Callithrix jacchus: one gene and its partners. Each later gene encodes a partner of the first gene's protein in a complex. Links are inferred from orthologs where the notes say so. Each region holds a gene or a part of one and is shown in the gene's direction. Other genes may lie near its edges.

The links.
Region 2: DPM2 (region 1) and PIGP share a complex: the UniProt entries of both Homo sapiens proteins name them as parts of the glycosylphosphatidylinositol-N-acetylglucosaminyltransferase (GPI-GnT) complex. The link is inferred for Callithrix jacchus from reciprocal best matches to the Homo sapiens genes DPM2 and PIGP.
Region 3: DPM2 (region 1) and PIGH share a complex: the UniProt entries of both Homo sapiens proteins name them as parts of the glycosylphosphatidylinositol-N-acetylglucosaminyltransferase (GPI-GnT) complex. The link is inferred for Callithrix jacchus from reciprocal best matches to the Homo sapiens genes DPM2 and PIGH.
Region 4: DPM2 (region 1) and PIGQ share a complex: the UniProt entries of both Homo sapiens proteins name them as parts of the glycosylphosphatidylinositol-N-acetylglucosaminyltransferase (GPI-GnT) complex. The link is inferred for Callithrix jacchus from reciprocal best matches to the Homo sapiens genes DPM2 and PIGQ.
Region 5: DPM2 (region 1) and DPM1 share a complex: the UniProt entries of both Homo sapiens proteins name them as parts of the dolichol-phosphate mannose (DPM) synthase complex. The link is inferred for Callithrix jacchus from reciprocal best matches to the Homo sapiens genes DPM2 and DPM1.
Region 6: DPM2 (region 1) and PIGY share a complex: the UniProt entries of both Homo sapiens proteins name them as parts of the glycosylphosphatidylinositol-N-acetylglucosaminyltransferase (GPI-GnT) complex. The link is inferred for Callithrix jacchus from reciprocal best matches to the Homo sapiens genes DPM2 and PIGY.
Region 7: DPM2 (region 1) and PIGC share a complex: the UniProt entries of both Homo sapiens proteins name them as parts of the glycosylphosphatidylinositol-N-acetylglucosaminyltransferase (GPI-GnT) complex. The link is inferred for Callithrix jacchus from reciprocal best matches to the Homo sapiens genes DPM2 and PIGC.

The regions. Positions count from the first base shown.
Region 1 is NC_133502.1:176,562,749-176,566,919, reverse strand, and holds DPM2 (dolichol phosphate-mannose biosynthesis regulatory protein), read left to right. Parts: upstream 1-1,270; 5' UTR 1,271-1,299; coding exon 1,300-1,302; intron 1,303-1,596; coding exon 1,597-1,686; intron 1,687-2,490; coding exon 2,491-2,593; intron 2,594-3,353; coding exon 3,354-3,412; 3' UTR 3,413-4,046; downstream 4,047-4,171. UniProt on the Homo sapiens protein: Regulates the biosynthesis of dolichol phosphate-mannose. Regulatory subunit of the dolichol-phosphate mannose (DPM) synthase complex; essential for the ER localization and stable expression of DPM1.
Region 2 is NC_133522.1:43,067,455-43,071,578, reverse strand, and holds the start of PIGP (phosphatidylinositol N-acetylglucosaminyltransferase subunit P), read left to right. Parts: upstream 1-1,300; 5' UTR 1,301-1,508; intron 1,509-1,917; 5' UTR 1,918-1,939; coding exon 1,940-2,021; intron 2,022-2,916; coding exon 2,917-2,961; intron 2,962-4,124. UniProt on the Homo sapiens protein: Part of the glycosylphosphatidylinositol-N-acetylglucosaminyltransferase (GPI-GnT) complex that catalyzes the transfer of N-acetylglucosamine from UDP-N-acetylglucosamine to phosphatidylinositol and participates in the first step of GPI biosynthesis.
Region 3 is NC_133509.1:102,593,033-102,597,090, reverse strand, and holds the start of PIGH (phosphatidylinositol N-acetylglucosaminyltransferase subunit H), read left to right. Parts: upstream 1-1,175; 5' UTR 1,176-1,260; coding exon 1,261-1,440; intron 1,441-4,058. UniProt on the Homo sapiens protein: Part of the glycosylphosphatidylinositol-N-acetylglucosaminyltransferase (GPI-GnT) complex that catalyzes the transfer of N-acetylglucosamine from UDP-N-acetylglucosamine to phosphatidylinositol and participates in the first step of GPI biosynthesis.
Region 4 is NC_133513.1:2,826,925-2,831,252, forward strand, and holds the start of PIGQ (phosphatidylinositol N-acetylglucosaminyltransferase subunit Q), read left to right. Parts: upstream 1-1,409; 5' UTR 1,410-1,480; intron 1,481-1,909; exon of another isoform or gene 1,910-2,084; intron 2,085-3,608; exon of another isoform or gene 3,609-3,870; intron 3,871-4,328. UniProt on the Homo sapiens protein: Part of the glycosylphosphatidylinositol-N-acetylglucosaminyltransferase (GPI-GnT) complex that catalyzes the transfer of N-acetylglucosamine from UDP-N-acetylglucosamine to phosphatidylinositol and participates in the first step of GPI biosynthesis.
Region 5 is NC_133506.1:46,465,388-46,468,940, reverse strand, and holds the end of DPM1 (dolichol-phosphate mannosyltransferase subunit 1), read left to right. Parts: intron 1-1,303; coding exon 1,304-1,418; intron 1,419-2,451; exon of another isoform or gene 2,452-2,453; coding exon 2,454-2,558; 3' UTR 2,559-3,033; downstream 3,034-3,553. UniProt on the Homo sapiens protein: Transfers mannose from GDP-mannose to dolichol monophosphate to form dolichol phosphate mannose (Dol-P-Man) which is the mannosyl donor in pathways leading to N-glycosylation, glycosyl phosphatidylinositol membrane anchoring, and O-mannosylation of proteins; catalytic subunit of the dolichol-phosphate mannose (DPM) synthase complex.
Region 6 is NC_133504.1:109,148,228-109,150,781, forward strand, and holds PIGY (phosphatidylinositol N-acetylglucosaminyltransferase subunit Y), read left to right. Parts: upstream 1-1,397; 5' UTR 1,398-1,495; coding exon 1,496-1,711; 3' UTR 1,712-1,959; downstream 1,960-2,554. Other genes in the region: PYURF (protein preY, mitochondrial), read left to right, coding at 1,251-1,397. UniProt on the Homo sapiens protein: Part of the glycosylphosphatidylinositol-N-acetylglucosaminyltransferase (GPI-GnT) complex that catalyzes the transfer of N-acetylglucosamine from UDP-N-acetylglucosamine to phosphatidylinositol and participates in the first step of GPI biosynthesis.
Region 7 is NC_133519.1:30,305,885-30,310,235, forward strand, and holds PIGC (phosphatidylinositol N-acetylglucosaminyltransferase subunit C), read left to right. Parts: upstream 1-1,506; 5' UTR 1,507-1,615; exon of another isoform or gene 1,616-1,924; intron 1,925-2,726; 5' UTR 2,727-2,964; coding exon 2,965-3,858; 3' UTR 3,859-4,201; downstream 4,202-4,351. UniProt on the Homo sapiens protein: Part of the glycosylphosphatidylinositol-N-acetylglucosaminyltransferase (GPI-GnT) complex that catalyzes the transfer of N-acetylglucosamine from UDP-N-acetylglucosamine to phosphatidylinositol and participates in the first step of GPI biosynthesis.

The DNA.
Region 1 (4,171 bases):
TCAGTGAATTAAAAGGCACAGGGGACTGGGCATGGTGGCTCACGCCTGTAATTCTAAGACTTTGGGAGGCTGAGTTGGGAGGATCGTTTGAGTCCAGGAGTTTGACACCAGCCTGGGCAACATAGAACTTAAAAAAAGCTAGGCTCAGTGGCTCATGCCTGTAATACCAGCACTTTGGGAGGCCGAGGCCGGCAGATCACGAGGTCATGAGTTCGAGACCACCCTGGCCAACATGGCGAAACCCCGTCTCTACTAAAAATACAAAATTTAGCTGGGTGTGGTGGTGGGCTCCTGTAATCTCGGCTACTCGGGAGACCGAGGCAGGAGAATCACTTGGACCCGGGAGGCGGAGGTTGCAGTGAGCTGAGATTGTACCATTGTACTCCATCCAGCCTAAGTGACAAAAGCAAGACTTCATTTCAAAAAAAATAAAAAGCCTTCACGGCTGGCTTCCCTTAGGGACGCGGTGACAAGTGAGACCCGGAGGAGCAGCCGCCCCATGCATGAGTGGCGAGGGACCGCGTTCCTGTCTCTATAGCTGGAGAAGCGTGAAAGATGATCTGGCCCAACATCGCTTTGTTCTCAGGGGAAGAGCCCTCCAAGACTGGGGAGGGGCCTGTGCGCGGGTCTCGCTCCGAAACGTGTTTGGGCTGCTCCAAGAGGCACCCAGTGAAGGGAGGGAGGGGACATCCGAAGGGTGGCCCGGGAGACCGGGAGATGGTGAGGGGGAGTCCCCTCTCCACCAATCCAAATCCTCCCCATCCATGCGGGCTCCAGACGGACCCTCCCCCACCCATCCCAGGCCGGAAAGTGAACATTCTCTGCACCTCTCCCACCCGTTTCGGTTTCACCACTGACTAGGATTGGGATCTACCCCTCTGAGCCTCGCTTTTCCCATCTGAAAAATGGAACTTCCGATCCCTCACTCCCATCCCACTCTGGCTCCAGGACTCTGGAATGTTTAGAGATTAGCTTATGGTGGGACGGCTACAGAACTATGGCCATGAAGGCCAGGGAGTCTGGGTTCCCAACTGGGTCCCATTCCCTAGGGAGATTCGGGCAGCAACCGGCCAGGCCATTTCCTTGAGAACTACATTTCCCGAAATGCAAAGGGAAGAACTACATTTCCCGAAATGCAAAGGGAAGAAGGCGGTTCCTGCTAGTCTCGGACGACGTGGGGCCTGAAACCTGAGCCGGACCTGGAACTACAACTCCCGGCGTGCTCCGCGGTCCAAACCGGAAAAGCGTGACCCGGAACCGGATGTTGCTTGTGGCTCCGGTAACTTAGCGCCGGGGGAAATGGTGAGATTGGGACCGAGTGCCGGAGATACGGGCGTCTGGGGGTGGGGTCCCGGGTCTGCTCAGGAGCTGGGACTTGGGCACTTGAAACGGGGATTGCTCTCCCGCCTGCCCATTGTACGGACAACAGCGAGGCTTGGCATTCTCTCCCAGCCTAGAAACTGATCCCTAGTCAGCCCTCTAGCATCTGTTGAATGAATGGAAGCTTAGACAGTGATAACGGCCGCGACGCCCGGCTTCCATTAGTGCGCGGAAATGGAGAGTCACTTTGTCAGCTGAGACTTCCCTTTTCTCCAGGCCACGGGGACAGACCAGGTGGTGGGACTCGGCCTCGTCGCCGTTAGCCTGATCATCTTCACCTACTACACCGCCTGGGTGATTCTCTTGGTATGTCATTCTCCCCGCCCGCTGCTCACCTTCCCCGAGCTCTGGCACCGCCAAAGCAGCTACAATATAAGCGCTAGGCACGGCACTGGCATCATTGCCTGCCTCGTCTCATGAAACCTCCAGAACAATTCTATGAGGAAGATGCCATTGGTGCCGCATTTTATATATGAGATAGCTGAGGCTCGGGGAGAAGGATGAAGCTCAAGATTACATCCTTAACCGCTACGCGTAAAACTCTGTTTCCAGCTTGCTTTGACTTTTGGAGGAGTTCTATTCCTTCTGGGTTATCCTGCTGACTCTTGGCCATGGCGAGCGCCAGTGATATTTGTGAAGGCCTTTAGGATATATTTTTTTCTTGTGGGAAAACTTGTTGGTCATTACTTAAGAAGTGCAGTGTGTTTGGAAGTGCAGAACGTGGTTATTTTTAAAGAAAAAATATTAGTGAAAAAGCCTGGAGGCCCAGGTTGGGAATCAATCGAGGATTCCTCATGTACCATTTGCTAGGCTGTGAGTGCCTTGGGGCAGATCTCTTGTCCCCACCACCAACCTGTGGCAGGCACCAAAGCAAGTGCCTGGTAAATACCAGTAAGAAATTAAGGAAGGATCAGTATTAACCATCACATTGCTCAAGAGAAAAAAAATTAAGGAAGGGAAAAAACAGGACACCCAAATCCCATAATCTTAAAGAAAAGCAAATCCAGTCCCAATGCTCTGAATGGGTCAGCCCCTTAGATGGAGGAGGTGGGATGTTTGGGGGCTGGGCAAGGCGAGCAAGGCTCACCAGAGCTCTGCCCTCGATGCCAGCCATTCATCGACAGCCAGCATGTCATCCACAAGTATTTCCTGCCCCGTGCCTACGCTGTTGCCATCCCGATGGCCGCAGGCCTCCTGCTACTCCTGTTTGTGGGTAAGTCATCACCTCCTCCCCTTGACCCTGGGCAGGGTTTCGGGAGGACCCACCTCAGAAGGTGCTTCCACACTTTGGCACTGCTGGAAGCTCCCTGCCCTGCAGTCACCCCTGGGGTTTTCCTGTTATCCTTCAAGGCTGCCAGTCAGTAGCCTCTGGGCCTCCTGGTGCCTCAGGCTTTTTGGACTCCAGTGACCTGTCCCCCTCTTTTCTTCCCCCAACCCCATCATCACTCTGCTCACCTCAGTCACCCTCTCATCACCCTGACTTCTAATTCCTGCCCCTCTCTGTCTCATGGCTTTCTAGGGATGGGGACTGTGTCTCCATCATTACTGTGCATCTAGAATGGGCTGTGGCACTGAGGTTGTGCTCAAAGTCATTTGGATGAGTCAGTCAACAGCCGGGTGCCTGGATGATGAGTGGATGGATGGGTGGGTGGGTGAGGTGTAGGTGGTGGGCAGGTAGGTAGGTGGACAAGTGGTTCATTGGGTGATCGATAGATGGGTGGATCTTGTTCCCCTTGGAATCTGAAACATTAAATTCAGCATCTTGCCTGAGGCAGGCACTCAGTTGGTGTTTGTTGAATGAATGTGAATGGACCTATGGCTTGATGAATGACTGGGGAGATGAGCAGGTCCCCTAGAGGGTGGGTGGGTAGGTACACAGCCCTGCAGGTGGGTGGCTCTGCCGTGTCATGCCCTGACCTCCCAGCAGCCCTGAGCCCAGATATTACGTGGCCTTTCTGGTCTGTGTATTCCAGGACTGTTCATCACCTACGTGATGCTGAAGAGTGAGAGGGTGACCAAGAAGACTCAGTGAAGGTCCTGCGGGGATGAGGCTGCCAGCCCCTTCTCTGCCTCCCCTCCAGGGCAGGGACCAAGCCTGGGAGCCTGCAGAACCTTCCCAGGCACAGTGGCGCCCCAAGCCTGGCTGTCCTGCAGAGTCCCCATAGCATGGAACTTAGCCCTGACTGACTGGACCCCCCTCCCCTGCTCTCCCTTCCAGAAGCTAGGAGGGAGGGACACAAGAAAGGTCACCCCTTTCTTGCCCAGGGCCTGAAAGATGCTGGTCCTCCCAATCTCACTCTCAGACCCCCTGCCACCTTTTCCCCGGGGTTCTGCCATCATGCCTCATTTCCTCTCCTGTCACATGCTGACATTGGACTTAGCAGGTTCTAAGGCTGCATTTGTGACCTCTGACCTCTCTCCACAAGCCCTCTCCTCCACCAAGGCAACTTTCCTTAGCCTGACACAGCGCCACTCCCCACAAGCCCTTCTGGACCTGGAAAGCCTGGGGAAGGACTGACAGACCCCAGGACCACCCGTAGGGCTCAGGGCACATTATGAGCTACCCCGGGCCCACTGATTGACCACTCCTCATGGAGGCCCAGCCCCCCAACCCCAGGGCAGGCCTATTTGGGAGAGCTGACCAATAAATGCTGACTGATTGTGTATTTGTTTTTGTGCTGTGTTTCCTGAGAGTTGGGGCTGGAGGGGGCTAGGAACTGGCCCCCCCCATCAGTCTTGGGTCAGGAGATCATGTGCAATGGGGGTGCCTTGGGGCCTCCTGCCCTGAACC
Region 2 (4,124 bases), on another chromosome or scaffold:
CAAGGATGGCATAGCCCGGTAGGCGTGTGCATATATTTTGAAAGGCCTGTGCAACTGAGAGGCTTTTGGCGTCCAGGGCGCCTCTGGAAAAGGCATGACGCACTGGTACCAACCCAAATTCGCCTACGTCTCAGCTCCATTTTTTATCTTTGATCAGCTTATTCTGTCCTCTGAACAGGCCACACTGACAGCGTCAACACTGCGGAGCAGGGGGCCAGACTCGATCTTGTCCTCCCCCTGCCCGTTAGCGTCTGTCGGGGGAGGATACTCAAAGAGGCGCGGGGGCGAGGGGAGCGCCGGGGTTACCCCCCCCCGCGTCCGTTCCGTGGGAACAGGCCCTGAACTGGACTGCCAGTTCCCACGAAAACAGGTGGCAACAAAGTGGTGAACACACGCACACAGAGCAAGGGGTGCGCATGAACGTTCACGAACACGCACCAGCGAAACCTGCACACAAAAGATACGCACTCGACAGGACTAAACGCGCACACAAGAGATCACGCACTCGACAGGACCCATGCGCAGACACTCTGGGGACACTCGGGGACACGCACCTCGCGCAAGCGAGGCTCTAGGCGGGGGTCGCGATCGCAGGAGGCGCGGCCACGCGCGCTGGGGGACGCGCAGCCCACAGACCAGAGCAGTGACACAAAGGGGGGCCCCCCGCAGAGGCCGAGAGCGCCTACGCAGCCGCCAGGGAGCACGGACACCGACACAAAGGGGGCCACATGGCGACACGCGAGCGTGGGCCCCTGCACCCATAGGGGATGTCAGCCACGCACCGGCCGACGCACGGGCAGGGGAGATGCGCACAAAGGGAGTACTCCCACCCTCGCCCTGGCATCGCAGGGCCTCGCTCGCGAAGGGGGCACCAGACCAAGGGGAAAAACCCACTGGGGCAGGCAATGGCGGCCACACCCCCTCATCTCGCGGGACCCCAGCCCACGCAAACACAGCAGGCACGGCAGCGAGGGACGCGGGGCGACGCGCACACACCCACACTCACCACACACCCACAGAGGGGGTGTGGAAGACCCCGCTCCCCCGGCATCTCGGCTGCAGCAGGACAAGTTGACACATCCGGGAGCCCTGCCGCACGCTGGATGTGCACTCACCGGGGCCCGCCGCCCGCGAGCCTCGACGCGGGCCGGCGCCACCGCCGCAGCCGCCGCCGCCGCCGCCACCTCCGGCCCTCCAAGTCAGCTGACAGCTGGAGGGAGCGAGCGGAGGCGCTAAAGGCAGGTGCGTCACGTGGGCTAGCAGCGCGCAGGCGCAGTAGCGCTGCACCGCCCCCTCCTTCGTCGCCGCGAGCCAAACGGATCCCGCGGGCCCCCGCGCTCTCTGGCTCCTACCCGAGGAGGGTCGTCGTGCGCCTGCGCCAGGGTGGGAGCGCCGTCGCTAGGCCTTTCACTCAGTTTTTTGTCTTTCCGCCCCCACTGCGGCTACCAAGTCGGCGCCTGCGCAGAGATCTCAGCGCTGAGGCGGCAGAGGTGTCGGGCGGGGCCTGGGTGGGCGTATGAAAGACCCCAGGTCGAGGCCCCCGGTATATCCCAGCTCGAAAGAGAAACAGAAGCCCCCATGAGTGGACAGGGCCCGGGGCCTGGGTGCCGTGACCTAGTAGGCCCGCGTGCTCGTGGGCGCCGCGGGAGCGTTGTTCTCCGCTCTCCCCTCCCTTCCCGCGGGAAGGCCACGCTCGCAGAGCTGGAGCGCGCGTCTATTATCCCATTCCCCTCTCCCTGCCCTATCCCGCGCCGCCCCTTCTGCGGGGCACGCGCCAGCCTGGGTCCCTGTGTGCGCGCGAGGTGGGGGCGCGGGTTGCGGGCGGGCACCGTCCCCGCTGCGAAGCGCTGGGGCGAGATTGGCCCACTGGTGCGGAGGAGCACGTCGCTGACGGCTAACTGTGTTCCTTTTCCGCAGATTGTCTAAAGCCCTAGGAAAAATGGTGGAAAATTCACCGTCGCCATTGCCAGAAAGAGCGATTTATGGCTTTGTTCTTTTCTTAGGCTCCCAATTTGTCTTCAGTAAGTACTTTCCCGATGGATGGCCAGGGGCTTTTTCTGGCATTCAGTGACAAGGGAAGAATGCATTGGTTAGACTGTGCACACACCAACTGTTGATTCTTTCTCCCTATGTCTCTTTTTAAGAAAATCAGAAGGGAGCTCGTGTTTGTTGAGTGTTGTACGCCAGCACTAGCCTAGGTGGTTTTAGTCTCTACAAATATTTATACAGCACCAGACACGATGGCAGAGTGAATAAAGCCTGGTCCCTGCCCTGAAGGAGGTAGTGGTCTTGTGGAGGAGACAGATAAGTAAATCTACAGTTAATGCTCAGTGTGACGAGTGTCAGGGGAGCACAGCGGAGAGACATTGAAACCAGACTGGAAAGTCAAGGCTTTCATCCCCCCACCCCCACCCAGACACTGATGCTGAGTAGGAGGGAGGGGAGAAGTGGAAAGGCTGTGAGAGGATTTGGACATGAGGACCTTGATACGGCTCCAGTGTGCCCTGTGGGATCTGAGGAACAAGAGGTGTAGGCCAGAGAAGTTCGGTTGAAAGGTGGATTCTTTGCATCCTGCATCTCCCTTAATCCCCATAACTGTCCATTTAGGGATAAGGAGGGTGACGCTCACTGAGACACTAATATGCCCAGTCACACAAGTGAGTAAGCAAGCCCCAAGTCTCTCCCCAAAAGGATTTGGGAATTATGAGGCACGCAAGAGAGAGGAAATTGAGTGTCCCTGAGCCAACGTTCTGGAACTCTTTGGAAACCAGGAAAGTAGAAGAGGGGTAGTACTTCTGAACCCTAACTGAACTATGTCAGCCTGTACCATCGGTACAACTTGCCGACAATGAAATGGCCAGGCTGTTAGAACTGAAGTGAAAAAGTTACAGCTGAGTTCAAATTCTGACTCCACAGGTGAGCCATGTGAGCTGGCAGCCTCAGGTTCCCTACCTGTAAAAGGTAATGATAATTATGGTTCTTAAATGCTTATGACGCATGAAACAACCCTATGGGGGAGTTTCTGTTGTTATTGTCCTCACTTTAGAGATGAACATACTGGGTTTCAGTAATTTGCCCTAGGTTGCAAAGCTGCTAAATGATAAGCCTCTAAATTTGAACCCAAATACACTGGCTGACTTCACTCTGCTCCCTCTTCTGACTGTTGCTAGGATTAGCGGGTAATTTATGTAAAACACGTAAAACAATGCCTAGAAACAGTTACGTGCTAATAAATGTTAGCTACTCATGTTATTGTTAGCACTTTTGTAAATCCTTGTTTAAAGAGAGTCTCAAAGATTAGAAGCTATATGAGTAAATAAAAGCAATCACTTTAAGACTTAAATTCTGGCCGGGTACAGTGGCTCACGCATGTAATCCCAGCACTTTGGGAGGCTGAGGCCGGCCGGTTACCTGAGGTCAGGAGTTCGAGACCATCCTGACCAACATGGAGAAACCCCGTCTCTACTAAAGTAGCAAAATTAGCCAGGTGTGCTGGCACGTGCCTGTAGTCCCGGCTATTTGGGAGGCTGAGACAGGAGAATTGCTTGAACCTGGGAGGTGGAGGTTGTGGTGAGCCGAGATCTCACCATTGCATTCCACCCTGGGCAACAAGAGTGAAACTTCATCTCAAAAAAAAAAAAAAAAAGACTTAAATTTCATGATATCCACAACCAAAAATTAACTCAAGTATTTATTGAGTGCTTACCATGTGCCAGGCACTGTTACAGGCCAGGAAGGACCAAAACAGTCCAAAATGCCCTGCTTTCATAGAGTCTTTATTCTAACGTTGTGGGGAGGTAGTCAATGGACGAATTAAATAAGAAAAACATACACAGTATCAGGTGCTCACATGTACTGTGGGGAGAAATTAAACAAGGGCAGGAGGACACTGAGTGGAAGGAGGTCCTTCTAATGTGCTTCTGTGTCATCTTTTGCTATTCATGAGCACTCATCACAATGTAGTGAAAATACCAATTTACTCTTGATTCACTACTAGACTTTGAGTTTAGGGAGCCCAGAAGCCACCTGTTTTTGATTCAGTATTGTGCCTCACACTCCTGACATACAGAATTCTGTAATACATATTTGTTAAGAAAAGAATGCATCATCACTGATGTAATAGG
Region 3 (4,058 bases), on another chromosome or scaffold:
GAACAGATGTTGCAGTGAGCTAAATTTGCTCCACTCCGTCTCAAAACAAAAACAAAAACAAACTACGGGTTTGTTTCGAGACAGGGTCTCGCTCTGTCACCCAGGCTGGAGAGCAGTGGCATGATCTCGGCTCGCTGCAACCTCGACCTCCCAGGCTCCAGCGATCCTCCCGCCTTGGCCTCCCAAAGCACTGGAAGTGTGAGCCAACGCGCCTGGCCTAAAAGCGTTTTAATCTGTCCACTGAATTGTTGCCCCCAACAAACTTTGTACGAAGACAATTACAGAAGCTGGGCCAAGGCCGAGCTTTTAGTGGAGAAGGGGTTTTGTCATGTTGGCCAGGTTGGTCTTGAACTCCTGGCCTCAGGTGATCTGCCCACCTCAGTCTCCCAAAATGCCGGAATTACAGACATGAGCCCCCATGCCCAGCCTGGATAATTCTTAAGGGCCCTTCTAGGACCAAAGTTCTGGGAGTTTCTAGCTTATTCTGCCCCCTCGTAGCCCTTGGCCTGTTTCTCTTTATCCACATGCAGAAACATCTGGCAGCCCCACATGGCTGAGTTGACCTGGGTCTAGTATGCCCTTGGACGGAAGACTAGCCTACCTAGCAGGTGACCTGGATTTTTCTTCCTGATCTGCTGCTTCCAAGTTGTATGACCTTGGCTAAGTCACTTCACTTTTCTGACTGTCACTTCGCTTTTTTTTTTTTTTTTTTTTTTGAGACGGAGTTTCGCTCTTGTTACCCAGGCTGGAGTGCAATGGCACGATCTTGGCTCACTGTAACTTCCGCCTCCTGGGTTCAGGCAATTCTCCCGCCTCAGCCTCCTGAGTAGCTGGGATTACAGGCATGCGCCACCATGCCCAGCTATTTTTTTTGTATTTTTAGTAGAGACGGGGGTTTCACCATGTTGACCAGGATGGTCTCGATCTCTTGACCTCGTGATCCACCCGCCTCGGCCTCCCAAAGTGCTGGTATTACAGGCGTGAGCCACCGCGCCCGGCCCCACTTCGCTTTTTAATGAAGTGTATCTGGTGAACAAGAAACGTTGTTAAAACACATGACTCACCATTCAAGAGATGGGTCTGACCATTCCCTTTCTCAGACTCAGACCCCAGGAGGGCTCTTGGCGCGCAACTGAGGCTGCGCGGGCTTAGGGGCGGGGCGTGGTGACGCGACTGCCGGAAGCGGGTCTGGAGCTGGCGAGGCTGGGAGAGCAGAAGAACGCGGTGCAGTGCGGGCCGCCTAGTAGGGGCAAGCCAGTCATGGAGGATGAGCGGAGCTTTTCGGATATCTGCGGCGGCCGCCTGGCCCTGCAGCGCCGCTACTACTCCCCGTCCTGCCGGGAGTTCTGCCTCAGCTGCCCTCGGCTCTCGCTGCGTTCGCTTACGGCTGTCACCTGCACGGTGTGGCTGGCGGCCTACGGACTCTTCAGCCTCTGCGAGGTAATGGCTGGTCGGCCCCTCCGCTCTCTCGGAGGAGGGGGTTCGGCTTTGGGAGAGTCTCTGGGGTCTTTGATCGAGCCCAGATCTCTGGTTGGCCCCTCCTACAGTGGTAGGACCAGAGGGCGGGAACTCACGGGTTTTGGGGACGCCACTCCGATGCTGGACAGCTCTTTAAATGATGTTTGGTGAATGTGTGCTCCTGGAAAGTACATTTCCCCTCTGTGTCTGTGCTCTGCTCGGTGGGTTCACCCAGCATACATCTAGTTCTTGCACGATGGTCTAAAACTTTAATTTCCACGTGTTCTATGTAATATAGGCGCGTAGTAATTTAATTCCAAGAGTTCAGGGAAGTAAGTGGGTCTTCCTCGTCTATCACTTCTGCTCCTCAAAGGCAGTGCTGCTAACAATACCTTATGTAGTTTTCCACAAACTGTCTTTGCCTCCACAGTGTACACTTGTGTAGCTGTGTGTATAAATATAGTGTTATCGTTCTTCCTAATCTGTTTTTCAATACAGTTTAACCCTCCCTCCTCCCAAACTCTCCCCCAATTTTAAGTACTTTCTAAAGGATTTTGAAATTTTGGATGTGTGTGGTATCTGTGCTCAATTTCCAGATTCATTCCTGTTTTCTCTGAGCCTCAATTTTCTACATCTCTAAAATAGAATTAATGCCTGCCATACCAGCTTCATGATATTGTGAGGGTTAAATGCAGTAACTTTATAACAGTTCTCAAATAAAAAGAATTATCCTAATTGCCTTTTCAGGCTGAGTTCTAGTTTCATATGTAGTGCCTGAGTTGGATGTATTATCCCTGAAGTGATCTGATCGGAGTTAAGTACAGCAGGGCTATTTATTTCTGTAACTTGGATATTGTTTCCATTACTGCATCCATTAGCTTTTTTTTGCTGTCAAAGCATATTTCACAGTATGGTAATTTAGCATAGAAATATGCAGAATTAAGACTGCCCTAATTGTAGTAAACTATCTAAAAGTCTGTTCAGTCAGGGTGCAGTAGCTCATGCCTGTAATCTAGCACTTTGGGAGGCTGAAGCAGGTGGATCACTTGAGGTCAGGAGTTCAAAACCAGCCTGGCCAACATGGTGAAACCGTGTCTCACTATGTATTTGTATTTTTATCACCATGTATTTTGTATTTGTAAAATACAAAAATTAGCTGGGTGTGGTGGCGCATGCCTGTAGTCCCAGATACTTGGGAGACCGAGGCAGGAGAATCACTTGAACCCAGGAGGCAGAGGTAACAGTGAGCGAAGATCGTGCCACTACACTCCAGCCTTGGCGACAGAGGAAGACTCTGTCTCAAAAAAAAAAAAAAATTTGTTCATAAGTCAGTTAAAATGATGATTAAATTGATTTGACAGCACCCCCAACATTTAAAATATAGTATAGTTGAATTTTAGTACTAGCCTGAGTTGTTATAGCCTATGTATGTGGTCATGTGAGGAGGAGGAGGAGGAAATAGATATTTATTAAATGCCCACTGAGTGCCGGATGCTTTACTAAATTCTTTACTTCAGCCTAGAATGAAGAAAACCAAGGCTTACAAAGAATAATGATTACCAAAAGTCTCAAAGCAGTAAATGGCAGATCTGGGCTTCAAACCCAGGGCTCTTTGACTCCAAGACCCTTTTTTTTCCTTTATACCATTGTATAGCTGATCTTAGGCAAAATTTAAAAACAAAAGCCTGCTTTTATGCCAGGTCCCCTCTGTACTTATGTCTCTTATCCTGGTGTACTCTGCTCACCCCTATCAAATGCCCGGGATTTAGTGACCTCATCTTCCTTTAAACTCTACTGCAACACTTCCTAAGGGCTCTGTGTGCCAAAATTTCTTACCTTTCCTATTCAAAACTTTATGAGAGTAGTGCATATCTGGAATGAGAAGAAATCTGATTGAAGGAATTCATTCAAACATACAGCTTAATACCAACTCAAATGAATATTGAATTGTTTGAATTCTATACAGAAAAATGAAGTAAAAAAATGCAGGTAGTAATGAAGTTTTAGGCATGGATTGCTTTCACTGGAAAACTGACGTGGATCAAATCCCTAAGGATTTACTGTCCTTAATCCCTTCATGTTTTTGAGTTCACAGTTCTATTAAAGTTCCAGGTTGTTCCCTTGTTTATTCCACCCTGGAATGTTCTTCTCCCTTCCCTTTCAACTAATTAGATTGGCCACTAACCACCACCTCCCCTGCACCAATTAAAATCCTATTTCCTTGGATGTGATGGGATATATTCTTGTGTGTTTTTATATCTTTTTCTTTCTTTTTTATTTAAAAAAAAAAAAAAACTTTTCCTTTGGTACTTGTAGTCAGTATCAGAGTATCCTCCAGAATATTTTCTATGTATTAATCTTGCCTTTAATAAATCTGTAAGGGTTAGGGCTGAATTGTATTCCTCTCCATTCTTCATAATGCTTATTCAGTGCAATTAATCTTAATTGCAAAATTAGATCTTTTTGGATCATCAGAGAACCAGTACTGAATCCTCCATTCATCAATCAACACATAGCACAGAGATCAGCAAACTGTTTCTTTCTTTTTTTTTTTTGAGGCAGGTTCTCACTCTGTTTCCTAAGCTGGAGTGTAGTGGTAT
Region 4 (4,328 bases), on another chromosome or scaffold:
GCCAAGGACAACTCCATCAAGGTGTACCAGGGCCTCAAGCAGCTGGCCTGACCTTCAGCTGGGCTGGAGCAGCCCTCCTGTGCCTGGGGCCAGCTCCAAGGCCCTTGGATCACCATGGGAGGAACCTTCAGTGTGGGTGGAGCCTGCAGGCTGTGGGCCTTGCCAGCCTGATGCCAGCACTGCTTGGGCTGGGCCCAGTCCTCCTGCTGGTGAGGCTCCTGAGTTAGTGCCTCCCAGGCTGCCCCTGCCAGGCCTGCAGCCTCCCCAGCCAGGGCCAGTCTCTGCTGTCCCCATTGAGCGCCATGGCCCCTGCATTTATGCACCCCAAGTCCACTCAGGCCCTGTGCATGAACTTTGCAGCTGGCAGCTGAAGCCTTGAGTGATGGTGGGCATGTCGGGCCAGCTGCCGGCACATGGCTAGGCATGCTCTCTCCTGGTGCCCCCACCCAGGCCTCCTAATCAGAGGCAGACAGGCAGGGAGGGTGCAGCTGGGCTGGGCTTGGCGACCTGGGGCAGGGGTGTAGCCCTAAGTGTCCCAGTTAGAGGCACCTACAGTCCTGAGCCTCCAGTAGCTTTTCTGGGCCTGGCAGAGGTAAGGGGGAGGCAGCCCTGGAGGTGTCTGGAGGCCCATGAATGGTTGAAACCTGGATGCCTTTTCTTCCACGTCCCGTGAATGAAGGCTGGGCCTTCATTCTGCAAATGGGGACAAACAGCTCCGCACTTGAGGGCCTGGGGGAGCCTTCCTCTAAGGACAGACTCCTGCTGCTTTAGAAGACTGAGAAAAGGCCGGGCTCGGGGGCTCACCTGTAATCCCTCAGCCTGTAATCCCAGCTTCAGGAGGCCGACGTGGGTGGATCACAAGGTCAGGAGATGGAGACCATCCTTGCGAACACCGTGAAACCCCGACTTTACTAAAAATACAAAAAATCAGCCGGGTGTAGCGGCGCGTGCCTGTAATCCCAGCTACTCAGGAGGCTGAGGCAGAAGAATTGCTTGAACCCGGGAGGCAGAAGTTGCAGTGAGCCGAGATTGTGCCACTGCACTCCAGCCTGGGCAACAGAGCAAGATTCCGTCTTGGGGGTGGGGTGGGGGGAAACTGGGGGGGGGAAAAAAAAAAAAAAAAAGCAGGCACCCGCCACCACGCCCGGATAATTTTTTGCATTTTTAGTAGCGACGAGGTTTCACCACGTTGGCCGGGCTGGTCTCGAACCCCTGACTTCGTGATCCACCAGCCTCGGGGATCTAACCCTCTGCCTCCATTTTGCAACTGGGGAAAGAAGGCGTGAAAGGAGAGGCGCCTGGGTTACTCTGCGGGTCTGGGGTCCAGGGAGGGGCTGGCATGGGGAGGGGAGCCGGGAGGGGGCAGTGTCTGGCCCTTCCCCTGTGGGGTGGGAGGGGGGCTCCCCTGCGTCACAGGACGTCCCCCCCGAGAGGTCCTCACGCGCCTGAGCCCTGTGGGGGGGATTAATTGGGGAACGTGGTAGGTGCTCAGTGAACCGGGGCTGCTGCCGCGGGCGGGTCTGCGCCGGGGTCACGTTCCTCGCACCCGGAGGCGCCGGACGCCCGCGTTCCCGCCTGACGATCGCTGGCTGCAGCCCCTGGGGGGCTCCTACCCGGGCCTCAAAGTCCCCGGCACCGCCGGCCTCGGGGATTTGGGGGCGGCCCCTCTGCAGACTGCAGGGCGAGGGGCGGAGCGGGCTGGGGCCCGGGCCCTCTGGAACCCCGCAGGGGCTGGGCCCGTTCACCCGGGGAGGCGGGGGGCCGGGCGGGGTCGTCGGTGTCTCTCGCCGGAGGAAGCGGAGCTGAGGCAGCGCTGGCGGCCCCGGGGAGGCGCGGGAGGTCCGGGCCTGGGGACCGGGCTGCGCCGCGGAACGCTCGGACTGGGCGGGCGGGCAGCCCGGGCGCCTTTGGGGGCCGGACCGTCGCGCGGCAACGTGCGGAGCCGGCGGAAGTGGGGCTCGGGTCCCGCGGCGGGGCTGGGGGCTGCGAGCGCCGTCATCCGCCCGGGCCCGCCCAACGGGGTTCAACCCCTTCCGGATCCCCCCCCCACCCCCGGCCCGAGCGCGCGGCCCCCGGAGCAGCCGGTGAGCGGGGCGGTGGGAGGGCGCGGCGGGACCTCGGGCAGCGCCCCTGCGGCTCTGGGCCCGGGCTGGGGGCCCCGCCCGCCCCCCGCGGGGCTGCTGGTTCCTCCTCCTCCGGGAAGTGGGGCGGCCCCTGGGCCTGCGCCTCCGACCCGCGCCGACCCGGCTTCCGTAGACCTTGGGCAGGGGCGGCCGGGGTCCGGGCCGGGCTGTGGGCCCGTCGCAGTTGTCCCGAGTCGCAGGAAAGGGCGAAAAAAAGAATCACAGGCTCTTCCCGGCCTCAGGAAGACGAGCGAGCGTTTGTTTGGGTTTTCTTGAGACGGGTTCTCCCCACGGTGCCCAGGCTGCAGTGCAAGGGCGCGATCTCGGCTCACTGCAAGCTCCGCCTCCGGGTTCAAGCAGTTCTCTGCCTCCGCCTCCGCAGTAGCTGGGGTTACAGGCACCCGCCACCACGCCCGGATAATTTTTTGCATTTTTTTTTTTTTTTTGAGACGGAGTTTCGCTCTTGTTACCCAGGCTGGAGTGCAATGGCGCGATCTCGGGTCACCGCAACGTCCGCCTCCTGGGTTCAGGCAATTCTCCTGCCTCAGCCTCCCGAGTAGCTGGCACTACAGGCACGTGCCACCATGCCCAGCTAATTTTTTGTATTTTTAGTGGAGACGGGGGTTTCACATGTTGACCAGGATGGTCTCGATCTCTTGACCTCGTGATCCACCCGCCTCAGCCTCCCAAAGTGCTGGGATTACAGGCTTGAGCCACCGCGCCCGGCCAATTTTTTGCATTTTTAGTAGCGACGGGGTTTCACCATGTTGGCCGGGCTGGTCTCGAACCCCTGACTTCGTGATCCACCCGCCTCAGCCTCCCAAGGTGGGATTACAGGCGCAAGCCACTGCGCCCCGCCTATGTATTGATTTTGAGAGGGAGTCTCGCCTTGTCACTCAGGCTGGGGTGCAGTGGTGTGATCTTGGCTCACTGCAACCTCTGCCTCCGGGTTCAAGTGATTCTCCTGCTTCAGCCTCCCGAGTAGCTGGGACCTGTAGCCTGTCTCCACACCCAGCTAATTTTTGTATTTTCAGTTGAAACGGGGTTTCACCCCCATCCTGGCAGGTCTGGAACTCCTGACCTGGATTGATTCTCCCGCCTTGGCCTCCCAGAGTGCTGGGATTACAGGCGTGAGCCACCTCGCCAGGCTCATGCTTATTTTTTCAAACAAGGCACTGGGACACGCAAGTTCTCCTGAGCTCTTGTGGAGCGGCGGCAGAGAGGGGCGGCTCAGTCAGAGATGGCCCTGGCCTGTCCCAACTGGGCTGAGGTTCCGCCATTCCTGCATTCAGGGGAAGAGAGGAAAGTCACTACTGTCTGTGGTTGAGTTTTGACCCTAAGCTTTGTGGGGAGGGGTGTCCTGGAGCCCTCCCTAGCTGCCTGCTCTGGACAAGAGCACTCAGGATCCTTCTTAGCAGAGGAAGCTTTTCTGGCTAGCCTGGTGCCCTTTACTGTTTTGTTTTTTTGTTTTTTTTTTAATCTCAGTCTTTAAAGATGCTCACATTGCCCGAGTTTCTGCGCTCTTCCTCCCGTCCCGCACCTCCTCTGCTATCGATTGCTGCTCTTTCATCTTCCTCTGGCTGTGTGATCCCGGCAGCCGCTAGCGCAGGCTTCTTTGTGTAGTCGTCGCTCCCAGAGGCTGAGGTGGGAGCGTGATGGGCGTTTGCCCCGTAGTGGGTTGAGTTCTCTCTCACTGCCCTCCCATCTCAGTCAGTAGACACAAGGAGCTGCTGCTTTTTTTCTTAAGGTAAAGTTTGTAGATAAAGCACAAAGCATACACACAAAGAAAGCGCCGGTATCGTGAGCACATGCATAGCTCGGTGAATTTACCCAAAGTGAGCCCGATGCACAACCCGCTCCCCCCAGTACATCTGTTTACTGTTAGGCTGATTGTGTTTCTTCTCTGACTATCTGTGGGCAGTTTTCCTTAGTTCCTGTGAAAGCTGTTTCCCAGTAGGGCGTGATGGGTCCCTGGGCTGAGCTGGAGCGTCCTGGCTGGCTGTTGCTGAAAGGTGGGCTGTGCCGGGTGATCCCTGCTGGTGGTCACTCAGCCAGAAGCGCTGGCCCCTCACAGGCAGAGCTGCTGTCACGATGAGCTTGGTGCCCACATCGTGTGGCCTCCAGGCCTGTACCTGCCGCCTGCCCTCTCTGGCCACTGAGGAAATGGGCATCTGGGGGCTTCTGCAGCCGGACCCAGAAGAGCCC
Region 5 (3,553 bases), on another chromosome or scaffold:
ACCTAACAGCATCTGACATATTATATCTTTATTTAGTTTTTAGTTCATTCTATAAGGCAAAACACGAAAAAGTATCTGAAACCTGTTATGTTGGTAAATAAATGTTTGTTATTGAATAAATACCATCAGATTCTCCTCTCTTCATATTTATTCCAAATTTATTCCTTTGAATCCTTAAGGAGACTGTGTGGATAAAGGAGTGCACACACTAAGCTCTGTTGGGTTCTTCTAAGGGCTGTGCTGTCCTATACTCACTTCATAGTCAAAAGATACTGTCGCCTTAGAAGTCTGAGGGAAAAAATGTGGATTCAAGGTGAAACTCTGAGGCACAGTAGGTCCAGATGGCCTTAACTTTGAAAAGAACAAAGTTTCACCAAACTACCTCTCCTAGTTTTCTCCCCTCTCCCCACAAAAAAAGGTAGAAATTGCTGCCTCCCTACTGAGACACTAATCTTTAAAAAAAAAAAAGTTACAGTGTCTGTGACTCTGAAAATAGGGAGCTCCTTGCTATTTGGTTACTGAAAAAAGTGCTTGGGTTTACCCACTGGACAGCCCAACTCCACTGTCTCACCTTGTAAATCTGGTATTTGGCCTGCAGTCCATCTAAAGTTAGGCTGCACATTCACTTGCTGTTAAGTGTCTAACTGACCTCGATTGGTGATAGGTGAATCCCACCAGCATTTTTTCTATCCTGTGATGTCTAGTTCCTGTTTTAACCTAGCTTCCCAAGCTCATCCTAGAGGGACTTAGTTTATCCTAGGGAATTTATAAAGGAAATCATGAGAAATCAAAACTTACCATAAACATTTATTGGGAAATGACTGTTAATTTTGAGGTTCTTTTTTTGTCATCTCTTATATATTGTTGCTTCATCATCATTTGTCCACTCTGTACAACAGTTTCAATGTTTGGAACAGTTTCTTCAACTTTAAAATTTAAGGAAATCTTAAATAATGTATGCTTCTGCATCAAATGATTCATTTTACTCTATTTCAATAATTTCTGATAGTATGACGGGAAAATAATTCTCTAAAAGATACTGAGAATTCATTTTCAAAATTATTCTAAGTTATTTAGCAAATATTTAATGGCCTTTCTTGCTTAGGACAAATGTATCATAATCATCAACTTTGTGAGCTTTTCTGTTTACCAATGGCCAGTGGAAGTTTTAGGCTTTATACATACCAGTGAACTCTTTGAAAGGTCAAGATACATGTTAGGCAAGTGTATTTATCCAGAAGTTGAGATATATATATTTATATATATATATATATATTTATTTATTTATTCTGATTTCTTACAGATTATACCGCAAAGAAGTTCTAGAGAAATTAATAGAAAAATGTGTTTCTAAAGGCTATGTCTTCCAGATGGAGATGATTGTTCGGGCAAGACAGTTGAATTACACTATTGGCGAGGTATGCAGCTGATGCTAAATAGTATGTCATGTTCCTGGTAAAGGAGGGGTAAAGTTTCACTTTCATAACTGCTAAATTGTGGAGGTCTTCTGGTTGTTTAGAATGTTCATGCACAAATGGTAAAAATTCACATTAGTACATTTGAACAATAAGATTTAAAACATTAACAGTTAGCATTCTCTTTTAAATAATGGAAAGTTCCTGGTACTTTCTCAATCCTAGCCTTCCTTCTAACCGGTCAGCATTATGGACTGAGTCTCTGCTTTTCCTTTTGCCACAGCCAGTGTCCACCATACTTTAAAATGAATGATGAATCCCATATGTCCATTTCCTGTAAGTGAAGACCAGGAATTACAGAGCCAAGGGAGTGGTGATCTGTAATACTTAGGGCTAGCGAGTGAGCTCTTAGGGTAGGGAAGACTCCTCATTTACTAGTAAAACTCTTATTCATAGCAAGAAAATAACTAACCTGAAATGTCACTTCTCCCGTGGAAGTTGCAAGATGTTTTACTTAATGCTAAGCTGTTATAGCTAAATTTGACAAACAACTGAAAAATCTAAGCAAAAGGCCGCTTTACTTTTGGGGTATAATTTTTCTTTGAAATGCAAACTGAAACTTGAGTAAACCAAGGTGATACCTAGGATCAGTGCATTTTAAACAGTTGTAGATTGGTTCATGTGACCTATCTTTAGATGATGCATTTAATTTTAAAGACTTGGAGATACACATAGTTGTTTTTTTTTTTTTTTTTAAAGATGGGGTTTCACCATGTTGGCCAGGCTGGTCTTGAACTCCTGACCTCAGGTGATCCACCCGTCTTACTCTCCCAAAGTGCTAGGATTACAGGCGTGAGCCACCGCACCCGGCTACACATAGTTGCTTTAAGAATCCTAAAGTACTTACTTTAAGGACTTCTTTTTAGGACTTTTTTTTAGTCCTGTTTCTGTTGTGTTGGTAATATGGTATACCTGCTAAGCTACCTAATTATTTTTGAAGACTGACTTTAATGTTTTTTGTTTTTTGTTTTTAACTAGGTTCCAATATCATTTGTGGATCGTGTTTATGGTGAATCCAAGTTGGGAGGAAATGAAATAGTATCTTTCTTGAGAGGATTATTGACTCTTTTTGCTACTACATAAAAGAAATATAATCATTTATACTTATGTTCATTTCACTTTAAACATGAAAGAAGCCTGGTTACTGATTTTGATAAAATGTACTCTTAAAGTATAAACCATAAGGTAAGGTAAACTTCACACATCTTTTTTATGAAGAACTTCTATATTTCAGATTAAGTAATTTTAAAGTTGTTGGCCTAATGAGTTTTAATGGTCTCAATTTTCATTTACATTTTGCTGTATTAAGACCTATAAATAAATGTATATGGTTTTTTTGCATAAAGTATTGCTGCTTTGATTAGAGTAAGTGAATGTAGAATTTTTTACATGGAGAATAATTTGAAATATTCTTTATAAATACTGGAATCATGAATCTTTATACCCAATAGATGTCAGAAGTAAGATAATGTTAACTGATGAAATGTTTATAGCTATATCATGGCTGTATCTGTATGATCTGTAAAAGAAATACACACCTCTGCCCTTTCCTTAAAAATGCATCTCAAATTTCTTAAACTAGAAAATCCATTTAGAGCAGGCTTTTAGAATTGGGTTCTTTTCAGCTGTGGAATTGATGAAGCATTTCATCTACCAAAGCAAGTCTATTTAAAATGCATATTGTGAATTGGGAAGCAATTTGGCAGCAGTAGATTACATAGTCGTATCTTTCTCTTTTGAGCAATAACCTCTATCAGTAAGGAAAAGTATTAATGATACTGAGGCAGAAACATAGCTGCTACAGTAATTTTTAAACATCTTACTGAATTATGTAACAATTTGTTTCTCTCTCTTTTTTTCTTTTTTTTTTTTTAAGATGGAGTCCTGCTCTGTCTCCCAGGCTGGAGTGCAGTGGTGCGATCTTGGCTCACTGCAGCCTCTGCCTGTGGGTTCAAGTGCCTCAGCCTCCCAAGTAGCTAGGATCACAGGCATACGCCACCACGCCTGGCTAACTTTTTTCTTTTTTTATGTAGAGATGGGGTTTCACCGTGTTGGCCAGGATCACCTTGATATCCTGA
Region 6 (2,554 bases), on another chromosome or scaffold:
CTACGGGAATGGCTTGAAGCGTTTTAGGTTCGCCACCGGCTGCGCAATGCAATCACCCGGGGACCGTTTTAAAAATGCCGATTCCCCGACAGCCCCCAAGACCAGCAGACTCGGAATGTCCGAGGGATGAGACCTGAACATTTGTATTTTTTTTTTTTTCTTTTTTCCTGTTAAGAGACAGGGTGCTCCTTACGTTGCCCAGGCTGGCCTAGAACTCCGGCTTCAGCCTCCTAAGGAGCTGGGGGATACAGGCGCCGCCCCCACTCCCAGCTTATTTGTGTGTTCTTAAACGACCCCGAAATGATTTCTAAGGTATAACCAGGTTTATGAACCACTGCGATTCAGGACAAGGCCAAAGCCTTCTGGTTTTTAAGCCAAGATGATGAAAAGTATTGTTGTACCCTCCAGATTCTTGTGAAGGTGTCGTGTACAACTGGTGCCTGACAATCTTAAGCATTTCACCTGTGTGTGCTGCCCAGTGGCTCTTAGTTGTGGACTAGCAGGTTTCGTAGAAACCTCTTTAACCTAGTTTTTGGGAAAACAGCTCTACAGTTTCCAAGCTACCAGAATTGAATATCAACAACATTAACACTAGTATTACAAATCGCATAAACTAAACACCAAAATGTTATCAGGGACTATCTTTGAATGGTAGATTGCTAGCAGTTTTTTCATATTTCTTTTTTTCCCATAATATTATTCAATTTTCTCAAACCTTGAAATTACTTGATTTGCCTTTATAACTAGCTCACCGCAGACTCACTGCTTTCCAGTGTTTTCTCATTTCTGCCCTCTCACCTTTTCCAGTTATTTCCTTCTAATGGATTAGTTAAGTTTCTCTATTTAGCATTTATTCTAAAATGAAGAAGTTGATTTTTCTCTAGTGTTTGTTCCAGTAGTAAATTTACAGAGATGGTTTGAGGGTTGACCGAAGTAGTGAAGGAATATTTGGGTAAGAGGGGGATCTTTTCTGACTACTATAAAAACGAAATTAAGGAATAACTTGTGAATAAGGCGAAAAAGAGAATATGAGAGAAACCGACTAAAATGGGAATAATTATAGATTCTAAGAGAATTTTTTTTAAGATAAAAGGTTGAATTGGCTATTGTTGCTTTTAGAATTGAAGAAGACTACTCTGGGATTAACTAACTCTATACCGAGAATTGGATAAATGGTGGTATTTGTTGAAAATCAGGCTCTTCAAGCATTTTATTTTTCACAATTCATTTTGTTCTTTTTTTTTTTCAACCTCAGATATGAAGCATCAACAAATGAATTGATTAATGAAGAATTGGGAATAGCTTATCCAATCATTGATGGGATTCCTAATATGATACCGCAGGCAGCTAGGATGACGCATCAAAGTAAGAAGCAAGAAGAACTGGAGCAGCGCTAGTTCATAATTAAAAAAAATAAAAAAAACCCAACAGCTGACTTTTCTTAATACCGTATACCTTTTAAAACATAGTGGAGGGTAATAATTGGAAGAGAAGAATGTTTATGTCTCTTCCTACGTTGACTGTTCTTATTCCACTGGTTTCTTTAGCAGGACTGTTCTACTCGGCCTCTGTGGAAGAAAACTTCCCACAGGGCTGCACTAGCACAGCCAGCCTTTGCTTTTACAGTTTGCTCTTGCCTATTTCCATACCAGTGTATGTATTCTTCCACCTTTGGACTTGGATGGGTATTAAACTCTTCAGGCATAATTGATGTAACTAGTGTCAATATGCTATATTTATTAATAATAGCTCTTGGGCATCTATCTCTGAAAGCTCAACTGGATGGAAGTTTGCAGGAAAGAGGCTTTGCTTTGTGTATATCAGGCTTAGGACTGTGGGAGACTTAAGTTGCAGATGCTTCTTTTGTTGTACTCTTGCTCTGCCCTTGTGTTTTGCAGGCTCTGACTTATAACTGCTGTATCAGAGAAAACATTTTGACAGTGTCTTGTTGGAGATGAACATCCCCAATTGTCATGTCATGAGTATTTCTTATTCTGTTCATCTAAAAGTTATTGAAATTTTGTTTTGCTTGTTTGTTAAGTTTAAGGTCTTTGGTAAAGTCACATGTTAGGAATGACTGAAATAATTCTAAAGGAGTGATGTTGAAATACTCTCTCTAAGGGAGACAAATGCATTTGAACAAGTGTGATATAAAACCATATCATCAAATAGAAATTTCAGGTACTTAACAGAAATTAAGTTTGTAAAATTACCTTCATTTCTTTGACATTAACTGCTTATATTAGCAATAAAGATGTTGACACTTTACCATAAAAGATGAAATAAACCAGTTTGCAGTAGTCATTTGTTTGGTCACAGAAGTGTGATTGATACAAAGGGAAGTTGTAAAACTGCACTAAACATAGGCTGTGTTTAGAGAGGTACTTCCTCTCTAGAATCATTTCCCAGGAAAGTGAGGGGTCGAAGACTTGCAAGTAGTAGTTTGTACCCTTTTGAGCTTACAGCCACATTTTGAGCCACATTTCAGTTTATTTTCCCAGGAGACTGAATAACACTACAACGGGCATGAGCATCAACACATGAATAGCTCCTG
Region 7 (4,351 bases), on another chromosome or scaffold:
TCTCTCCACATGCCCACTTTAGTAACACACACCTTTGCTTTGTCTACACATGAAAAAAAAATCACATTCTCAATAAACAGGTAGACAGTTTTATGTATTTTCAGAACAAAATGCACAAGTGCTTTCAAGTGCTCATTATTCAGTTGTGTTATTTTTACATAATTTTGAATATATCTAAAGCAGACAATTAGAGTTTCAAGAAACTCAAAGTCTTAAGGAACAAAAGCACTAAGAGATAGAGTACTTATTAAGAGTAAGGCCTATATTCAGTGATAATTTTCATCTGAGAAACCCAGAATATTTCTACTTTTAAAGCACTTGACTTGGGTTTCCCAATGGATCAAATGTGCCCTCTGATAACTGTCCCCATCCCGTAAGACGAAATCATCTTCTGTAGACGTTTCATAAAACTTTTGCCTTCAGTGGCTGAGAGGTTACCTTCTGGGGAGGCTGAGCACTAATGGCTTGTTTACAAGGCTGGCCTCACTAAGCCAAGGAATCTTGTCAAATTTTTGAACAGAAGCCTAGAGGGAAATAGAGATCATGTTTACAGAATGTATCACTCTTGAGCATTGCTCTCATTATGATGGCCAAAGTCAGCTAACAGGAACCATATAGTAAACACTTTACAAAACATTTTTATATTTTATATTTAACTCTTTAGCCATCCCATAAAGCAACCAAGTGCAAATAGTGTCATCTCCATTTTACTGATGAAGAAATCAAAGGTCAGATAGTGTGATTTGACCTCAGTCATGGAGCTAGTAAATGGGTCATGTTTTCTAACTTTCGTTTCCAGTGTAACCTGTGTTTTACTACATCCCTTTGTTTCTTTATTACCTCCATCTGTTCATACATCCTTTAATATTTCCATGAACTCACTTGAATTAGCAGTCTTCTCCTCACCCCTCTTAGGAGGTAAAGAGGAGAAAAACCAAGCTTCGAAGCTATAGACAACTGGATATTGATCTCTGTTCATCTACTTCCCAGGTGCCTGTCTTTGGACAAATACAATTTATCTAAGCCTTAGATTTGTCCTCTTTGAGAGGGGAGATGATATAATCAGTGTAAAGATCAATGCACAAAAAAGAGAGTTTCATGAGAGCAGCAGTTTTTGTGTTTAGTTCAGGGCTGCATCGTGAGCATCACAAACAGGGCTTGCTACCTGCACGCATTCAGCCAGTATCTGTGGAATGAAGGCATGCAGGGAAGTCCCTAGCTGAGGGCCTGACTTAATAAAAGGAGCGCAACGGAAGTGGCCATTATCTCTCACCTACTGGCCCAGCCTCTTTTCCTGTCCCTCTCCTGCTTTACCCAGCCCTTCAGATGGCACATCCCGTTTTGCTGTAGGGGATTGTTGGGGATTTGCTTTCCTAAGTTTAGAGCGTTCGGGTTTAGGCCTATCTTCAGGAGGGGAGCCTGGCGGTCTCTGAGCAGCCAGGAGAGGGCAGCAGCCTCGGCGCGGTGGCTCAAGCTGGGGAAGGGCACCCTCGCGGAGGAGATAGCGGAGGACCCGGAAGTACTCGGCCACAGTCGCAGCCCCGGCACACCGGAGGGGGAAAAAGTCTGAGGGCCGCCGCCCCGCAGCTGCGCATCCCCAGGAATTCTCGGGCAGGTGGGTTCCACGTAATCGTGTGTTTCCGGGGCTCCTTCTCCTCTGCTGTCCCCCGCAGGCCTAAGGCTGGGTGAGGGGCGGCGGCGGGAGTGGGAGACCTGGAGAGTGATGGCACGCCCCTGGGGTCACCCTATCCTATCCTGTCCCCTCCCAACTCCACTTTGCCGGCGGGCGCTGCCCTTTTGGGCGCCGCAGACCCTCCAACCCCGGCGATAGCCTTGAAATTCCTGGGCTGGGATCCCCGCAGCGGAGAGAGGAATAATGGTGTCTGACTTGCCAAGCAGCACTTGTCTTCATGGAAGAAGTTAGGTCGGGCATTTATGAAATTATTTTCCTCTGATTTGCCAGATGGCTGTGGTGTTGCTGACTCTTAGTTTTCCCATTGTGAAAAAGGGATGATTATCTTCTTCGATCCTCGCAAGAGTTTCGCCGTTTTGAGTAGAATGATAGCTCTTTAAAGTATGCTAAGCTCAGCTAATGGAAGAAAAGTGTAGTTTCTTTGAGTCTTTGATTTTGGCTAAATAAACTGCAGCACTCGTATCTTTCTGTATAGTGCAGCTTACTATTTATTGTCTTTGGATCGGTAACTTAAAAAATATAAACAACATGCCTTTGAGAACCAATAAAAGCTATGGATATTTTCCCTATAAATTTACACAAATGCAGATATAAGCATGCAATGTGATATACCTGAGGGGTATGTGAACCAGAGAGTTATGAACTGGTTTAGAGGGAAATACAATGTGAGACACAGGCTTTGGGATAAGACTGGTTTGAACGCTGGCTCCGCCCTGTTACCTTACGGCAAAGTTACTTAAGCATTTTGAATCTCAGCTTTTTTACTAAAGCAGGACTAATACTAACTTGCAAGGTTGTGAGGATTAAGTGAAAGAAGATACATAAGGCACTTAGCACATAGTAGGCACTCAATAAGTGATAGCTAACAGATGCATATTATTATTCAAGGAATTACAATTTTCAAATCTGAAATGCAGTTTTAATATCCCAAATTGATAAGGTGACTACCAAATACATTTTGCTCAGACTTTTAGTAAACTGAATGATTTGGCTTTAACTCAGTACTACCCTTGACCTTTCACAACTTTCATAGGTTCACAGTCTCTCTTTTTCTAGGAACCTGGCTGTGTTGTCCTGCTTCAGAGACAAACTCATCTGTTGTAGGCCTAGCCTGGGTTGCTGCCTTTGAAAACAAGGAAAGTTCAGTAGAACATCAACCACAGCGTGGAATTTCCAGGGAGGTCTCATTTCAAAACTTCATAGAGAACAGGAACCACCCGGACTTCTGTGAGGGCAGTGATTAAACTGGCCTGAGTTTGAATGAAAGGATAATGTGTGCCCAACCTGTAACTAACACCAAGGAGGTCAAGTGGCAGAAGATCTTGTATGAGCGACAGCCCTTTCCAGATAACTATGTGGACCGGCGGTTCCTGGAAGAGCTTCGGAAAAACATCCACGCTCGGAAATACCAATATTGGGCTGTGGTATTTGAGTCCAGTGTGGTGATCCAACAGCTGTGCAGTGTTTGTGTTTTTGTAGTTATCTGGTGGTATATGGATGAGGGTCTTTTGGCCCCCCATTGGCTTTTTGGGGCTGGCCTGGCTTCTTCACTGATTGGGTATGTTTTGTTTGATCTCATTGATGGAGGTGAAGGGCGAAGGAAGAGTGGGCAGACACGGTGGGCTGACCTGAAGAGTGCCCTAGTCTTCATTACTTTCACTTATGGGTTTTCACCAGTGCTAAAGACCCTGACAGAGTCTGTCAGCACTGACACCATCTATGCCATGTCAGTCTTCATGCTGTTAGGCCATCTCATTTTTTTTGACTATGGTGCCAATGCTGCCATTGTATCCAGCACACTGTCCTTGAACATGGCCATCTTTGCTTCTGTATGCTTGGCATCACGCCTTCCCCGCTCCCTGCATGCCTTCATCATGGTGACATTTGCCATTCAGATCTTTGCCCTATGGCCCATGTTACAGAAGAAACTAAAGGCATGTACTCCCCGGAGCTATGTGGGGGTCACACTGATGTTTGCGTTTTCAGCCTTGGGAGGCCTACTGTCCATTAGTGCTGTGGGAGCCATACTCTTTGCCCTTCTGCTGGTATCTATCTCATGTCTCTGTCCATTCTACCTCATTCGCTTGCAGCTTTTTAAAGAAAACATTCATGGGCCTTGGGATGAAGCTGAAATCAAGGAAGACTTGTCCAGGTTCCTCAGCTAAATTAGGACATCCATTACATATTAAGGCAAGCTGACAGACTGGCCTCTTAACTAGTATAAAACTTGAAGACAGAGTTCCATTCTGGAAGCAGCATGTCATTGTGGTAAGAGAATAGAGATCAAAACAAAAAAATGAACCAAAGACTGAAAACAAGGAAAAGTAGGTAGAACATCAACCGCAGCATGGAATTTCCAGGGAGGTCTTATTTCAAAACTCCCTGGGTGGTAAGGGAGCTCATCCTTTCTATTATTTTGTGGATGAAAAAACTTTCTGGGGGTCTCTTGAATTACATACTGTAACATATGAAGTGATGTGGTTTCTATTAAAAAAAATAACACATTCATCAAGTTGTCTCATGATTTTTCCATAAATAGTAGGCAGACAGAAGAGCATGAAGAGTAAAGAGAGAATGTGTGTGTATATGTGTGTGTGTACGTAAAGTCACTTCTCTCTACCCTTTTCTGTGGGCTAATGCTCGCTCTTTGATTTATCT